Cricetulus griseus: one gene and its partner. The protein of the gene in region 1 interacts with the protein of each later gene in a pairwise test. Links are inferred from orthologs where the notes say so. Each region holds a gene or a part of one and is shown in the gene's direction. Other genes may lie near its edges. The genes, in order: Hprt1 and Iscu.

Region 1 (4,284 bases):
CTGAGTGCTGGTATTCAAGTTGTCTGCACCACTGTCCAGCTGTTCATTCTTTATTGGCTGTTCATTCTTTATTGTGATATAGAATAGTGAACATAGAGCCTCCCACATACTCTGGCTGCACTATACTCTTGGCTCTTTCATTCTTTTCTTTTTTTTTTTTTTTTTGGTTTTTCCAGACAGGGTTTCTCTGTGTACCTTTGAAGCCTATCCTGGCACTCGCTCTGGAGACCAGGCTGGCCTCGAACTCACAGAGATCCACCTGCCTCTGCCTCCCGAGTGCTGGGGTTAAAGGCATGCACCACCAACGCCCGGCGACTCTTTCATTTTTTTCAAACATTAGTTAGTCAGTTGTTCTTTTGTCAGGGCCTCACTTTGTATCCCAGGCTGGTCTGGAACTCACAATTGCAATTCTCCTACCTCCAGAGTACTGGAATTACAAGCATGTTACCACATATGGCTAAAATTCCCCTTGTAAGCAATGACAACAGCTTCCTTGGTAACATGAACTTGCATGAGCATTTCTTTCCTTTGTATGAGCATATTGCAGTCATGTGCAGGCGCGTTCGCCTGTGCAGCAGCTTCAAGAGGCCAGAGGATGAGGGCAAAATATCTTCCTCAGTCCCTAGTACACTTTAGCAAATTTTATTTTGAAACAATTTCTTACTAAATTGCCCAGATATGTTGAATATTCGATCCTTCTTGGTAGCTGGGCATATAATCTGCTTTTTTTTTTTTTTTACCTCGCCTGCGTTAAAAATGCTCATTCTATGTAAAGGCAAAAAGCAGTTTGGGGTCGATTTTACAAGGTTACAAAGCAGTTTTCTTTTCCTCTTGGTTCTGTACCCTGATCAGGCTATTCTAGGGTTGTAGGTCTCAAGTCTTAAAACTAAGTAAGGACTTTTTTTTTAAAGAACTGCTTCTAAATCAGGAAAATGGAAGCCATCCACCATGTGGGGCTTGGGAAGGGGACGTCTGGCTTGAGGAACCACATGGTGACAAGAACCTGAAGAATCCACCAGTTTAATAGTCAGGAGGAGAGAAAAAGAAATGCGAACTGAGGTAGGTTTGATTATTTGGGAGTCCTCTGGGATACTGGAAGCGGCCCGGAAATTGCTGTGTGACCAGTGCTGGATTTTTCCAGAAGAAAATTCCCAGGAGTACCTGGCCCCAGGAGCCACCCAGTAGCGGCTCTCCCGCAGAGGAGCGCGGGAGAACGCCCACCCTCGCCGCCAGGGGCGGGGCCTGGGCGGTCCGAGGGGCGGTCCGAGGGCGGGGCCTCGGCAGCGGCGTCTGTGACCCGTTGCCGAGGCGGCGGAGAAGCTAGTTGGGTTTACCTCACCGCTTTCTCGTGCCTCGGCGCCTCCTCTGCGGGCTTCCTCCTCACACCGCTCTTCGCTCCCGCCAGCCGACCGATTCCGTCATGGCGACCCGCAGCCCCAGCGTCGTGGTGAGCCCCGGGACTCTTCAGCAGAGCGGGACAGCCAGGCCTAGGCGGCTGGCTGCTCAGTGGCGCCGCTCGGGGCCCGTTGGCGGGCCTTGGGTGTTGGGGCCCGCGGAAGTCCGGGGCGGGGGCGGTCACCGCTTCCCGGAATCCGGCTGCGCGTCCCCAGAGGGCGGCGGGCAGCAGGATGGAATGGCGGGGTTCAGGGCTGGGTCTCCCCTGGGAGCCCCGAGACGGTTGACTGCTTGTGAGGCAGGCAGGTGGAAATGGCGTTGCCTTGACATGTGCGGCCACCGGGAGCCCGGCGGGGAGAGGCGGAGGGCGACTTGGAGAAAGATACCTCACGGAGAGGGGAGAGGGGAGAGGGGAGAGGGCGGGGGAGCTTTCTCGGGGAGACCCTTGCTCTTGAAGTTCGGGGCTTGGCGGCCAGGGAGAGCTTCGGGGGGCGCCTCTGGAAGGAGCTCCAGTACCCTACACGACAGCATGGGAGGGCACGTTCAGGCCTGGGCTTTGCCTCTAATTCTGCAGATGTCATAATTCGTATTTGTGGAATGCGCAATTGCTCCATTGAATCCGCGTTGCGGCCCTGCTACTGGAAAAGCATGTCTGTTTTCCCACCTGAGGAGACTAGTGAAAAGGCGGCTCATTTTTTTTCCCACGGCTTGGGGTTGGGGTTGAGATACATTTGTCCTTGATGCTGTGAGGAATTTGTTTTTAAATATGGATTTAGTTGTTAGGCTAAAGGACATTTTCCCCCCAGTCAGCCCCTGTATTTTGTCTCTTCTCCCATTGGCTCTATTTTTCGTAACCTGACAAGCTGATCCCCCACTCTGCTCCACAACCTTGCTTGCTAAAATAACTTAAAGCTCCTGCCTCCGATTAAATATTTTAGCCTGCTTTATTGTGATTATTGCCCCTACTACTAATTAAATGTCATATCATTCTTTATTAATATCACTGTGGTAGATTTCGTAGTTACCTGGTTACTTGTTGATTGTCTCTCCCACTTACACAAACTAATTATTTTCATTTTTCTGGAAGGGTCTTACTGTGTAGCTCTGGGTGGTTAGGAATTAGCAATGTAAACCACCCGGCTGGTCATGAACTTGTGACAGTCCTCTTGACTCTTGCCTCCCAAGTACTGCAACACCATGGCCTGCTGAGTTTTTTTTCGTGGTAGGAACTGAACCCAGAGCTTTGTTCCCGATAGGTGAGCTGTCTACCTCTGAGCCAAAGGCTACCGCCCTTAAACAAGCTTTATAGGTCAGGAATCAACATTGTAGCTTTAGCATCTAGCACAATGCCTGGTTTGTGGGGAGCTTCCATTAATAGTATGTTGAGTGAATTAATAAGCATTTGAGCCTAAAAATGCTGTCTCATAGTCATATTAGACAGTGTGGCTTAAGGTAGAAACTCTGTTTTTTTGTTTGTTTGTTTTTTTGGATTTTCGAGACAGGGTTTCTCTGTGGCTTTGGAGGCTGTCCTGGAACTAGCTCTTGTAGTAGACCAGGCTGGTCTCAGAACTCACAGAGATCCACCTGCCTCTGCCTCCCAAGTGCTGGGATTAAAGGCCTGCGTCACCAACGCCCGTTGAAACACTCTGTTCTCAATGACCTGGAGTCCTGCTCTTGATTCCCCAAGTAAACCAGGCCTTGGATTTACAGTCATCTTGCTTCTACCTCAGTGAGGGGATTACATGCAAGCATGTGCCATCTTCTGGTTTGAGGAGCTGGCTGCTGGTGTTGAAAGGACTGTAAGACAATATGCAAATAAACAAGCATTTCACAGTTCCTGGGTGGAAACAGGAATAATAACCATCATTGTCTTTACATAGATGATCCTAATTAGTTTTCAGAATAACCCTGTAACAATGGTGTGTTCACATTATCAGACATAATAGGGGGAGAGACCCCCCTCAAGTATTCAGCCCTGGTTTAGATTAGCACCAGAAGCAAGGATAAATTTTAGGCGGTGGAGCTCTGCCTTAAAAAATAGATCTATCTCTGGAGCCTATGGGCAACAGTCTGCTGTTATTTTTATTTGGTTACTGAGGAGTTCTACAGATGCCTTTAAGTTTTGAGATTTGGTACTTGTAGAGTATAGAGCTAATTAGTTCTTAATCTTAGAAGTGACTATTCTTAGTTTTGTTTGAACATCAAGAAATTCACTATTTTTAGCTTGCAAATTCCTGTTCCTTGTTTTTAAGTTTCCTTCCCCTAAATTGTCTGCATGTTAGGAATAACAAACACAAAAACACTTAACTAGTGCTTACTGTGTGCTAGTTGCTCTTCTAAGTCCTTTAACTGACTTGATTTTTTTCCTAATTTTTCTGTATATGGCTGTTTTGCCTGCATGTATGTATGTAAACCACATGCTTGCCCTGTGCCTGTGGAGTCCAGAAGAGCTCATCAGATCCTCAAGAACTGGTATTTCAGATGATTGTGAACTGCCAATGGAGGTTCTGGAAATGAACCCAGGTCCTCTGGAAGAGTAATAAGTGCTCTTATTACTGAGCCATCCTCCAACCCCTACCTGACTTACTCTTTAAAAAAATTTACACAGAGGAGTTAAGGAACTTTGCTAAATCATTCAGTGCCATTACATTTGAACCTGTTCTCTGGCCCCAGATTCTACCCTTAACCAGTAAATTTAAGCTAGGAGCTATAGTAAATGTTTCTTAGATACCTTTCTCTGTCTTAGGCATTGACAAATGTTTTTGCAGACTTTATCTAATGTCAATACCCTAAAGTTACATAATATGGACCCTGTTGTGTAGACTAATATGATTGGTGACACAGGTAGACCAAGTGACCATGCACTAGATCTCCTTCATGAAACTGGCC
Region 2 (4,325 bases), on another chromosome or scaffold:
ATTTCCAGCTGGTTTTTCTCCTCCTCCTCGTCGTACTCCCACTCGTCCTCCCCGGGGGAGCTCTCAGCGGAGGAAGCCATGGCGTCCTCCTCATCCCCGTCACTCTCGCTCACGCCTTCCCGCTGCAGGTCCCACCCTGGCCCTTTGGTCTTGGCCGCGTCGGAGGCCACAGCGCGGGACTGCACATTCCTGTCCGCACTGGCTGCCTTCGCCTCATCCTCCCCTCCCTCGGCCTCAGGCCCCGCCTGGGGCTCAACCTCCGGCTCGGACGCAGAGGCTGCAGCCGCAGTCGCCATCTTGCGCAGCTTGCGAGTCTCGGGTCTTCCCTCGCCCGCCGAAGCCCGGCGAACGTCGGGCTGTCCGCGGCGTCCGCCTAATCAGAACGCCGCTTCGTCAGCACTAGAAGCGGCACGGAGGGCCTGGAGAGGCGGGAAACCCGTAAAATAACCACCGCGGATATATCTTTATATTTCTAAAGGAGGCAATGTCGGGGGAAAAAGGCTCATGAGCATAACGTGAATTCCGTTACAACTTTGGACAGCTGTTGGGTCTTTGAACCGGAAGTGGCGGCCACAGCGGAAGTCGTGTGAGCGTGGTGTCTGTGGTTAAGGTCGAAACGCCATCTTAAGAAGGTCAAAGTCATTCTTGGGACTGAACGCCTTCTGCCTCGCTCAGCCGGCTCTAAGTGCTTGCTTGTTTCCCAGCAACCGAGCCTCGGGTGCAGAAAAAAAAAAAAAAAAACTCGGGTTCCTCGGCGATCGGATTGCACCATTCACGAGAACGTTCTGTCTCCGGAAGGATAAAGCGTCCTCCTAGGTGTTAACCCCGTGAATTTTGTGACTTCACAGGTTCATAGCCAGTGTTATTGGTAATGTGCAGTAAGTGTTGTCTAGGGATGCCGTGCACTGCCATAAAACGGGGAGTTTCATTCATGGATATGTCGGGGCGTTTCCTTCTTACACTTCTCGTCCTTGGGGTAGAAAAGCGTTGGCGCTTTTCAATGCACACTGCCTTTCTCCTTCACTAGCAAGGTTAGCGAGGCGGGAGTCGCGTCCGTCTTGCTTTCCGGGGGACCCCCCCCCAAGATTCTGTGGTGACGCCCCGTGTGCACTCACTACGCATTTGCTCCAGATGAAAGGGCTGTGCTTGAATTAGCAAAGAGAGCCCGCTTCCTGAGCCACGCAGCCAGAACACGGAGTTTAACCGGGACTCGCGCCAGTTCGAACCCCAAGCCCGCCCGAGACCCCTGCGGCGGCCCGAGCAAAGCCCCAACACCCAGCCTAGCGCCGCTTCAGACCTTCCCGCTCTGTGCCCGCCACGCCCCTCCCGGGGGCGGGGCCGACGGCCGCAACGCCCGGTGACGTCAGGCTAGCGCGCCCTGGCTTTGACGTCGCCGCGATCGACGCAGGTGCGAGCCGGCAACATGGCGGCGGTCGGAGCGGGCCGTCTGAGGAGGGCGGCTTCCGCGCTGCTGCTCCGGAGCCCGCGACTGCCCGCCCGGGAGCTGTCGGCCCCAGCCCGGCTCTATCACAAAAAGGTATGGGCTGGCGAGGGGGTGCGCGAACCACCGAGGGGACGGGCGACCGGCGCCAGCCGGGTGCCCCTGGGAGAGGCGGTCGGCTCCCCAGCTACTCCCCGGCTCGCCTACCCCCGCTGCGCAGTTACCCGACCTGCAGCCGTTGCCCGGATGAGCACCCCCGACGATCCCGCGGCAACCTCAGCCCCGCCACTTGGAGTGTCCCGACTCTGCCAGCCCAGAAGGGAGGGTCCCGGTATGTCATGCCGGGGGTCAAGGGGCGCCACACACACACGTTTCTGAATCTGAGCTCACTGCCCAGCACCAGCGTCCTCGCCAGGCCACTGCCATCGCCTGACCCGTCCCCCCAGATCCAAAAAGGGTCCTCGGCAGCCCCCTGTGTGCGGAGCGCTCGGTCCAACGAATGGAAACCGCTTACGGCCATGTTGTTATTTTAAGAGCTGATGGGCCCCGGGCGAACCAAGCACCTAACCTACGTACAACTTTGGCTCTCGGTTATTTGTTTGTGTATTTTCGGGGAGCACAAAGTATAGAAGGGTAGGTAGTTTGTGGCCCCCTATCTTCTAAGGACGTGAAGGCCCCCTGACAAGAGACTCTCGGGAAAGAAAGAAAAAAAAAACAAAAAAGACTACCACAGCTAGACAAGACATCAGATGAGATGTGCGTTGTGGGGCCTCAGGGCTTAGACTCAATCTGCAAATGAGGGCGCCTCCTGGTAACTAGCCAAAAAAAAAAAATCAAAGTTATTAAATCTTACTATTCCTGACTGTAATGTCTGTCTGTTATATTCTTGTCTGTTATATTCTTGTTTGCATGCTTTTGCCAAGGCCTTCAACCCCCCCCCCAAAGAGGAGCGTGTTTTGTTGACATTAGTATCCACAGGAATTTGGGCGGGCTGGAAGCCTTACGGCACCAGGGGGCGCTCCTGCACCAGGGTGGCATTGTGTTTATGTTTACAGCCACAAATGGCGCGGCGCCACGGCGACCTTGGCTCATCTGAAACAGTCACCTTGACACTTAGGAAATCTTCCATTTGGGGCCATTTGTACCCTTGGAGTTTTAAAATGCGTAATTCTCTTACGACAGTATATTTTGTTTGGTAAAAAATGTAAGTAAGTGGTGTTTGAGCCCAAAGCTGGTGTCATTGTGTAAGTCACGTGATTAAATTGTGGTTGAAATACCTATGAACCTAAGTTGTAACCTGAGTTTCTTGCCAATATCTCGGACAGTATCTCCTAGATGAAGGTCGTCAGGAAGGAGACGGAAAGAGTCTACGTCACACATTGCCCTCCCACCTCTGTCCCATTGGGATTGCTGACCCAAGGGAGATGGTGAAGTCTGTTAATCTGTCGTTTCAGGTTGTAGATCATTATGAGAATCCTAGGAATGTGGGGTCCCTTGACAAAACATCCAAAAACGTCGGGACCGGATTGGTGGGTGCGCCGGCGTGTGGTGACGTCATGAAACTGCAGGTACTGGCTGGATGGAAAGGATCACCGTAGCAAATCGTCTTGTCTGTCCATTCCTGTGAGACAGATTGAGTGGCTGTCATGGATGGTGAGGGTAGAGGCTTGTCTTGTTCTGAAACAGATGACTTCATTTTCCTCTTCACTGCATCACTGTAGACCCCTTTTCAGTGAGTGAAAGGCTTTATGAATGTTACTGGCCAATGGAAGAATCCGCATGAGCTAGCACTCGACAGTGAGAAAGGGAATGTGCTAACCGAACCTTTCCAGGAAGAGGAAGGGGCGGGAGATGATGTGTATCACCTGAGTAAGCAGTAGGAAGGAGCCACTAATTATAGTCGGTGTCCAAGACATTAATGAGGACCTGGATTGCAGGCTCTCCTGGTGCCTAAGGAGGCCGATAGAGGCAGCAGCTGTCAGCAGACTTCTGCTTAGAATTCACATACAGCAGACTAGGGTTGAAAACAACCAAAGTAGGGTGAGAGCCATCGTTTCCCTGCTCCTCTCTCTCTACCGGCTGGGCCTGTGTGGACCCCGAGTTTCACTGTCAGTGACTGAGCTCTTTCAAAAAAAACAGTAATCAGTGCCATGGCATCTGGTGTGGGCAGCAAGCCAGGGCTCATTCATAACACACACTGTGGGCCAGAAGTTCCAGGCTCTTGCATTCTAGATGTCAGGTCCAGGAATCACCTCTGAGCGCCTGTTTCTTTTCTAGATCCAGGTGGATGAGAAGGGGAAGATTGTGGATGCCAGATTTAAAACATTTGGCTGCGGCTCCGCCATCGCCTCCAGCTCCCTAGCCACGGAGTGGGTAAAGGGAAAGACGGTAAGAGTGGTCACAGATTGTATAGAATTATTTAATCCCAGCACTCAGAAGGCAGAGACAGAAGGATCTCTGAATTCCAGGCTAGCCTTGTGCACATAATGAGACCTGTTTCAACATAATCATAGAATTAAATCAGAATTCCCTGCAACCCTGGCTCTGGAAGAGTCTAGTCATAAATCACAAAACAAAAAGCAGGAAGATGAAGATAGTTAGTTCAAAACCAGCTTGGGAAAGGCAGCAAGACCTTGCTTAGGGGGAAAAAAAAGATGTCAATGATTTCTTGAAGCCATTTTCTAAAGTTTAATACTGGTTACATTCCTCACATTGGGAGTTGTGAACCATTTTGAGGCTTTTTGTTACTGTTACTTGGTTATCAGCTAAATAGACGAGGGTCATCACCAGTCCCTCTGACCAAGCAGAACTGAAAAGAAACCACCATGGGCTTTCCCTAAGGTTTCCTGAGAATACTGTGTAATAATTACTCCTTGTTTCCTCC

What was found.
Region 2: the proteins of Hprt1 (region 1) and Iscu interact in binary tests that used the Homo sapiens proteins (3 or more experiments, as listed by UniProt). The two-hybrid records come from large-scale screens. The link is inferred for Cricetulus griseus from reciprocal best matches to the Homo sapiens genes HPRT1 and ISCU.

Annotation. Positions count from the first base shown.
Region 1 is NC_048604.1:17,040,350-17,044,633, reverse strand, and holds the start of Hprt1 (hypoxanthine-guanine phosphoribosyltransferase), read left to right. Parts: upstream 1-1,278; 5' UTR 1,279-1,420; coding exon 1,421-1,447; intron 1,448-4,284. UniProt on the Homo sapiens protein: Converts guanine to guanosine monophosphate, and hypoxanthine to inosine monophosphate. Transfers the 5-phosphoribosyl group from 5-phosphoribosylpyrophosphate onto the purine.
Region 2 is NC_048597.1:93,416,839-93,421,163, forward strand, and holds the start of Iscu (iron-sulfur cluster assembly enzyme ISCU, mitochondrial), read left to right. Parts: upstream 1-1,380; 5' UTR 1,381-1,423; coding exon 1,424-1,537; intron 1,538-2,895; coding exon 2,896-3,009; intron 3,010-3,718; coding exon 3,719-3,829; intron 3,830-4,325. Other genes in the region: squamous cell carcinoma antigen recognized by T-cells 3, read right to left, coding at 1-296.